Linked DNA regions of Mus musculus: region 1 is reported to be linked to region 2. Evidence: microRNA targets listed by miRTarBase, many of them from high-throughput screens and not tested one by one. Region 2 holds a microRNA gene; the other region holds the end of a gene's coding sequence.

Region 1 (4,264 bases), not on the chromosome of region 2:
AAGGTCACACTGGAAACAAAACACATTGGTACTGTGTGCGCCTGGAGATTAGGCTTCAGGGGAAATTTTGTTCCTGCCTCTCCCACCCTACCCACCCTCGCTCACCCAGCAGGTCCAGGACGGGACAGGAAGGCCTGTGCAGGCCTCCTTGGCTGCTTCCTGCCCTGGAAGTTGGACGGGAAGCTAGGGCTCCAGGCGGAACCCAGACTCCCTCCCACAAGTTCCCCCGTGCCCCAGCTGCCTAACCCTGTATCCTGTCTGTCCTGTGTGAGGTAGATGCTGGTGGGTAGGAGGGATGTGTCCTGTGCTGGGTCAGGCCACCCATCGAGCCCAAGTGCCAGGGCAGCAGAGATGCTGAGCCTGCAATTTACCCTCCCCCAGGCCTGCCAGCAACCAGGCCTGCCTAGGAGCAACAGGCAGGTGGGTGGGCTATGTCACCAGTGGGCAGGACATGGGGCACAGCCAGCAGTTGTCATATCCGCAGGCTCTGGGAATGAAGGCCTGGTATAAGGGCTCGGCAATCCTGGGGGTGTGTCTGGGTGCGTGGGAGCTACTAGTCTGGGATCCTGGGTGTGACTGTGTCTGGGTCTGTGGGGCCACTTGGGACTCCCCAGGCAAGTGGGTGTGTGTGAAGAGTGTCAGACAGTAGCTGTGACCTACTGGTAGTCTGGCTGGGACTGTGACGTGTATGAAACCCCGGCGTGTGTGGTATGAGTGGGTTTGCAGCGGGTCACGCAATGACCATGACCCCGTGGAGGATGTTTGTGTAACTGCCGGGGGGAGTAGTCTGTTTCCCAGCTGGGCTCTGATGCTGTGATGTGTGTCTGGTGTGTTTGACACTGTGAATCTGTCTGGCATGTGGTGCAAGCTTGGCCCTATAATGTATATTTATGTGATGGCCTTTTCTATCAAACTTTCTACTTGTGTCATGTCCTGTGAGGGCCCAGGGCTGGACTGTTTATAGTCTGTATGTGTGGTCTGTGTCGACTGCCAGGTGTCAGAATCTATGTCACTAGTCTTGAGAGGTGAATGTGTTGGTGTAGTTGTGGGACCCTGTCCATACTTTGGCTTCTGCTGGGGGTAGTGGGGCTATTCAGCAATCCTTGAATGACTACAATCCTGATTGTGTTCTTGCTTGCGTGTTTGTGTATCTGCCAGGCCAGAGCTAGTGGCAATGACAAATGTTCTTGTCCTGCCCCAAACCCCAACCTGTTCCTCAGAGGCTCTCAGCCCCTGATGGGACGAGACTAGGAGGCCTCTGACCCACTCTTCCAGGCTCAGTGCTGTCAACCTCAAACCAAAGGAACTCTGCCCTCAGTCACCCTGCCTCCCTCCCTCCCTCCCTCCCAGACACTCCCTGAGTGGAAAGCAAGTTTAGGAGCCCTGGGGGCCTGAGAAAGGCAGAGGGTAGGGGAAGTGAAACACAGGAGAAAGGAGGAAACGGGCTTGAGAAAGAGGAAGCAGGAGAGAATTCACAAGCTCCCCCCAGCAGATGGGAAGAGATGAAACACAGGACTCGCTAGGCTCAGGCAGCCGGTCTTTCTTGCCTGGGTAACTTATCTTCCTGAGGACACATGCATGCATATACGCTCATGCATGTGCACTCTCTCTCTCTCTCTCTCTCTCTCTCTCTCTCTCAACCCCAGGAAGGGAGGAGGCAGGGTGACTGAGGACAGAGTTCCTCACCATTCACTTAACTCGCAGTGATTTACCAGAAATGGAGGCCTCGGATACAGCTTTTTAGCTCATCTGGTAAGGCTATGTGTCCCCCAAGTTCTTTTGGGGTCCCATACTCCTGATCAAGATATGATCAAGAAAGCAGTCTTAGATCCATGTGCAGATGCTAAACTAACTAAGTTCTGTGGATTTAGGAAGTAACCACCTTCCGTGTGTGTAAATACTTCCTCCTGTAAAGAGCACACGATCCCCCAAAAAGGATAAGCAAGCTTTTGGAGAGAGTGGGAAGGACTGAGGGGTTTTCCATATACTTAGCTCTGCTTGGCTGGGGGCTATGTAGATCAGGCTGGCTTTGAACTTGTGGTGATGATACTCCTGCCTCTGCCTCCTGTTCAAATTACAGGCAGCCTGTTCAGACCACACCCATCTTCACAGGTTTTCCAGAAGGACCAGGTGATATTGCTGGCCCTGCATACGAGGCTGCAGAAACAGTACATGGCTCCAAACAGTATGTGGAGGAAGCAGCGAGTGTGGCCGTGAGCCAGCGGGACTTATTTACAGAAACAGGCTGCAGGCTGCAGGCTGCAGGAGGCTTGGGGCCAACCTTGGCCAGCCCCTGCTCTGTCAGGCTGTGGGAAGAAAGCTGTGATCAAGGACAGCCACACACCTGACATGTAGGAGAGTTGTCATTCCCTGGCTTGTGCTGACTTGGATCTGACTCAGCGCCCAACACCCTTCCCTTAGACTCTTCCAGTCACGTTGCTCTCTTTCCTCACACAGTGGCACACCCCAAGATGGCTGTCACTTGTCACTTCCGGTCTTCCAAGAATCTCTCTCTCTCTCTCTCTCTCTCTCACACACACACACACACACACACACACACACACTCCCTGATTCCACTTCCTTCTTGTGGCTCCCCCTCCCCCTAGGCTCCTTTCACCCAGTGACATAGTCAGCACCAACACCAACTACTGATTTGGTGTTTTGGTATTTTGGAGACCGTTTCTTCTATGTGTAGTCCTGTGTATCCAGAACTTGCTCTGTAAACCAGGCTGGCCTCAAACTCAGAGACCAATCTGCTACAGCCTCCTGAGTGCTGGTCTTAAAGGCCTGTGCCACCACATTCTGTGAATTGGGGGTTTTTTGGGATAGGGTCTAATGTAACCCGGAAGCCCCAGAGTTCCTTATCTAACCCTTGCCTTCCCACTGCAGGCATTTCAGTACCACACACTCAACTCTGAACCAGTAGCCTGGTTATATCTGAGCTAGCCTGAGCTATATCTATCTGCCTGCCTCAGTCTCCTGAATGCAGGGACTTGTCACATGGGGCCACCACAACCCACTGTATCAGCACTTTTTGCTCTTCCATATACTCATCATCCAAGAAATGAATTCATCCCAGCAGGAATTCAGGCTCTCCCGGATTGCCTCGTGGATGCTCAGAGGTATAAAGCACTGTGAACGGTGCCTAAAGAGATGATACCTGAGTCTAATAGGGTTTTCCCTGGGCCTCAGCGTCGCCCCCTGGAATTCTGGGATCAAAGCCGGCGTTCCTTAGGGAGTGCTGGAGGCGATTGCACAGAAAGGGACAAGATGTGGTAGGGGCGTCAGCTAAGAGGGAGACGCAATCCGGCGGCCAATGACACGGAGACCACCAGTCCTCTGTCACCTTTAATGGGCCCCCCAGGTGGGCTTGAGGGGGGGTGCAGGTGTCCTTAAATACAGCCCCGGGCGCTGCGGGCGGGGCGGGGGCGGGGCCGGGCCTGCCGGGAGGGGCGGGGCGGGGCGGGGCTTCAGCTGCACTTGCAGGAGCGCACAATCATGTTGGACAACTGCTCCACCTTGGGCTTGCGACCCACGTAGTAGACGATGGGCAGTGGCTCCAAAGCCTGCGGCACGCAGCACGGTGACGCCGAAGCGCCCGGGTTGTGTTGGTTGTAGAGGGCAAGGACCTGCGGGTGGGCCGGGGTCACTGCCAGAGTACAGGGGCTCCCCCTATCTCTCTCCCCACCAGGATCTCTACATTTCTGTCTCTTATCTCTGAGCCTCCTCAACTTCCATCTCTGTTTCCCTATCTCTCCCAGTCTATTTCTATATATGTCTCTCCCTATTGTTCTCTGTCCCTCATCTGTCCCCATCTCGGCCTCTCTCTCTCTCTCTCTTCCTCTCTCTCTCTCTCTCTTCATCCTATCTCCTCTTCCTGTCTGCCTCAGTCACTTACTCTCCCATCTCCAATTCTCCCCACCTCCTTTTCTGTATCTCTCCACATCACTAGCTCTCTTGCCTTTCTCACCCAATCTGTTTCTTTCCATCTCTCCAGCTCTGCTCTGCACCCCCCCCCTGCTCTTCTCCGTTTCTCTGTCACCCTATCCCGCTGACTCCCCACTGCTCTAAGCTTCCCATTCTCTCCCTACCACCCCAGCCTCTGCTCCAGCCTGTCCCATGAGCCAGACCCACCTTGCTGTACTGTGTGTCCAGGCTCCAAATATAGGGGCAGGGTCCCAGACAGAAGTTGGCATGGTAGCCCTTGGGCTCGTGGATCCACTTCCAACCCAGGTCCTTCCTAAAGTCAATGTACAGCTGCCGC
Region 2 (4,264 bases):
TCCTTAGCATAGAGGGAGGGGATTGGGGGATGGTAGAGGAAGTTGCTAAGAAAATTAGGCTGAAATGGAAATCAGAAGAGTTGAATATTATCATATGCAAATCTCACCTTCCCCTTCATTTACAGGATTTTGACCCTTGTTAATAACTGCCATCTAATCTATTTATGACCTAAAGCCCTCCCTATCATGGGTTAGAGTTCCTAACCCTCAGGCTCTAATTTTGCCAACCAATGTCAGTGTCACTCAGAAACCCAGTGTATAGATCTTCCAGCACTCATCTGCAGCTAAGGCCCTGGAAAGCCCCAGGGAGGCTGCTGGGCCTTCTGTTTCTCCTCTGGCTGGCCCAGTTTCTGAGAAGTCAGTGTCAGCATTGCTAGGCTTCATTGCTATCATCTTCTCTATTGCTGGAAAGAATAAAGGGGCACCAATGAGGCAAAAGAACAAAAGCAGGTCCTCCTAGACTACTTGACCTCTTGCAGTACCAACGATGTGTTCTCATCTTCACCCAGGGATAGCATGTTTACAGTGAGTCTCCCATCCAGATTGTCTGAGCTAAATCCCCCTCCCCAGTCTAGCTCTGAGTTCAGTTCAAGAGAAAAGAGGTCACAGTCAAGCTGTGGATCAAGCAGCAACAGTGGGCAGAGGGAAAGGAATATAGACATTAGCTCATCGTATCCTGTGACTACAGTTTCTTGTGCAGACATCGGAATAATAACCTACTTCACTGGAATCTTGGAACAATTGAATATTGTGACTCTGGGGATACTCACATTATATTTGCTCTATTACCCCAAAACAGCCAGGAGCCATAAAAAAATATGCTTGTATCTGGAAGCCAAAAAGTTTTTCTGGGGAACCTGAAAAATACAGCTCTACTCTTTGTCTCCTTTCAAAGATGACAGTTGTGACATCAGAGGAAATATACAGCAAAAATGCAGTACAATGTGAAACATAGCTTGTGAATCTTATTTTTAGGTACATTTTTAAAACATACCTTGTTTTGTGTTAGAGGGTTATCTGTATAATACAGTGTTAAGATACCAGCTTTTAAAAAGACATTAGGGGTTAAATCAAATTGCTAGCCTACAGGGTCATGGGATAGAGAGCAGGAAGGAACATACTCTTTTTGAATAATACTTGTGGAAGAGTTGTCCTGGCACAGGTGACTTACTTGGGTTCAGTTGTTAACATCTCATAGGTCATTGTCATTGTCTTGAACAAGTGACATATCTACCGACACTATGCATCTTGGGAAATTACATAAATTCAAGACATTACAAATGTACATATGTTGAATGGATTTGGTTCTTTTATTTCATTGTGTATGATGATTTCTAATGACTAATGTGAAGTCACACAGGAAACAAGCTTTGCATTGTTTTTGTCTGCTCAAAGTGTTGGCTGTATGGCTGTCATCTGCGTCTGACAGGCAAAATGATTCTCAGGGCTGAGGCTGGTTCTTCTGACTGCACATCTCTGCTTTCTTCAGTGAGATCCTCTTCTTCTGGAAGCTGGTTTCACATGGTGGCTTAGATTTTTCCATCTTTGTATCTAGCACCATTTGAAATCAGTGTTTTAGGAGTAAGAATTGCAGCACAGCAGAGGGTAGACTACAGAGGAACAGCTGTACACAGAACTGGCTCTCTCCTTCGAGAAATCAAGGGAAGACTTGAATAGTGACATTTGCTCTTGAGTCTGTTTGGTTTAGAGGCAGTGATAGTGAGAAAGTTTTTGTGTTCAGAATGTATAAGGGTATAATCAGGAAGTGGTCTACTTTATTCAGCATTCCATGGGTGGAAGAGGGTTCCTTGGGCCTGCACTGTTCATTAATTGTAGCAAGGAAGGGGTAAGAGCTCTGTATGTGGAGGACTGCTTCATTCACATCAGTATGGCTCGTCTGAACCTGGAAGATCCATGGAGCACTCATTCAGTCCTGGTTGCAGCACAGCTGAAATCAGACTGTCACCTGCCTTGAGATTCAGACCTGAAGAACACCACCAGTCGGTCCATCTCTTACACAGGCTGACCGATTTCTCCTGGTGTTCAGAGTCTGTTTTTGTCTAGCACCATTTGAAATCGGTTATGATGTAGGGGGAAGAGCACCAGCCTCAGAACCTTGTGGTGTCAGCATCAGCATCAGCCTATCACTTCCTACGTGGGCAGAGTGGAAAAGGAAGATCACAGTTTCCTAACTTCTTTAATTCGTATGTATGTGGCTGCCAAGGTTAGAGATCACTTAGTGGGGGGTTTTAATTGTTATAATTTATTGTTGTAAAATATTCTCAGTTACAATTTCTGACATGTAGTACTGTTATAAACTAAGTACTGTTAAACGTTGGCTTTAATAAATAATTTGCTACATTCAATCTATCATGTCTGTTTTATCTACTATTTTTCATTCATAATTCTATGGCAATGAGAAGTGGTCCCTGGAAAGTTAATTTGCTGTGCCAATCATAAGGAATTGGAAGTAGGTTGCTGCATGCAGACATTAAAAATGAAGGTCATTAAGACAGGAATGAAATTCTAAAGATGAAAGATTAGCAGAGACAGAAGGTTGGAGCTCTAGGCTGAGGGATGTTACTAAATGGGAAGACTATTCTTGGTTCCAAGGGAACTGTGGACTCTGACCCTCCTCCTGTCAGTTGCTGCAGGGAACTTACTTAACTGCACTGTCATGTGGCCCTTAAAGGGGAGCAGGCTAATTTCAGTTGTATTTGTAGCAGAGGGAGTTCTACTTTCCACTGATAGTTTATTTCAACCCTTCAGTAGGCGGTGAAAAAGTTCTATAAAACTGTTCAGAGATTTGCCAGCATTGGGGGTGGTGGAGGGGCAGGGTTCATGATTGGGGAACTTTCAGGAAGAAAGCAGGTGGCCCCTTCCATAGGAGTTGCATAGCTAACTATGAACTACCTGCAGTACAATTATTTCAAGCCAGTAGGTTTTAATAACTAATGGCAAATCAGCTGCTCAGGAAGCTTCTTCTAAGCCTTCATCCCAGTTGCCTTACCCCAGATGGCTGCCTTGCCCATTTTGCTGGAAGTGGGAGGCTGTTGGAGAATTTGCTGGAAAGACTTCCCAGCGACTATGATGCATCCTGCAGCTGCAAAGCTATTTCAAGCCTTTGATTGAAGAATCCATGTTCTAAGTCACATCTAAGGATGTGCTGGTAGGAATAGCTAAGTCCCTCAGCTGTATTTTTTAATTTACCCCACTAAAGTAGGAGACTGCAGCTCCTCTAAGTATGACAGATTGGGTCTGTGGTATTAACTACACATTAAGTCTTTAAAAAAAAAAAAAACATAGCTACTCTGTCCAAAGCTCCCAATTAATTTGTACTGAAAATTTGATTGAAACTCCCCCAGGCCATGATTCTGGCTCTTTAATGAGTTAAGTGCTAGAAAGTTGAATTTAATATCAAAGCACAAAAACAATGATTTAAAATTTATTTCCATTTAGAAAAATCATAATATTCTCATTGAATACTTAAACTTTGCCATATCCTGATGTCCTGAGAAGCAAATTGAAACCAGAACACCTCTCAGTTATTTTTTATCTGGATGCTTATAGCCCTTTACATAAAATTGTCACTCTGGGATAATTTTTCATAATTGGCTAGTAATGTAGGTTTTTTTTTAACAGCACCCTCCTGAATCAGATTTATAAAACCATGCTGTCAACCCAGGTATAAAGACTTTTGTTAAAGCATTAGTTTTTTAAAATTAAGCCTTACCAGACTTTTTAGAAGTGAATACAGTGTATTTTTGTTAACTGGGGGAAGAAAGATCTGCAACCAGTTTAGTAGATCAAATGAATTAAGTTTAGTCCCTAGCATCTTTAAGAAGTTGGTCTAGGCCTTCTGTTTGGAAGCTGGCATATAGTCTCAGGAATAGATAGCACATTGATATTAACATACTTTTAAGGGAAGCCGGAGATAAATCTGTGTTTGATCTGGGGCACATTCTACCTCAGTACCACATTACTGTGGCTTTGGTCACCAAAAGAGTGATCCTCAGGTTCAGGTCCCATTCCTGCAAGCAAATACTATTTTAGCTGGCTTTAGAATGGGGCTCAGATGAGTCTATTGTAGAGCCAAGGCTGAGAGCCACTTCTCTATTTCTGAAAAGACCATACTATTTTGGTCATAGTTATGTGCTGCCAGTTAATATGTTAGTGCATAAATTTCAAGTCAGTACTGTAACAAATTAGTACAAATGTGATATCTTAACACACACAACATTCTTAACAGGTCTGAATAGCAGAA

The links. Region 2 holds the annotated microRNA mmu-miR-29b-2-5p (CUGGUUUCACAUGGUGGCUUAGAUU, at 1,512-1,536, shown strand). A microRNA usually pairs through its seed, bases 2 to 8, with sites in the 3' UTR of a target mRNA and lowers its output. Matches are read on the target gene's strand: a 7mer-m8 pairs with bases 2 to 8, a 7mer-A1 pairs with bases 2 to 7 and ends in A, and an 8mer does both.
Region 1: miRTarBase lists Tgfb1 as a target of mmu-miR-29b-2-5p. The part of its 3' UTR that is shown has no 7-base or 8-base seed match.

What each region holds. Positions count from the first base shown.
Region 1 is chr7:25,704,149-25,708,412 of GRCm38, reverse strand. It overlaps Tgfb1 (transforming growth factor, beta 1), which reads right to left. Exons shown (of 7, transcript NM_011577.2): 6 at 4,135-4,264; 7 at 3,336-3,629. The coding sequence ends at 3,471. Among named protein-coding and RNA genes, the nearest start is that of Ccdc97, 13 kb to the left of the region's middle.
Region 2 is chr1:195,035,539-195,039,802 of GRCm38, forward strand. Mir29b-2 (microRNA 29b-2) reads left to right here and starts at 1,502; the gene lies at 1,502-1,582. A330023F24Rik (RIKEN cDNA A330023F24 gene) reads left to right here. Exons shown (of 8, transcript NR_015566.2): 8 at 1-2,370. It overlaps Mir29c (microRNA 29c), which reads left to right and starts at 2,009; the gene lies at 2,009-2,096. It also overlaps a transcript of Cd46 not described here.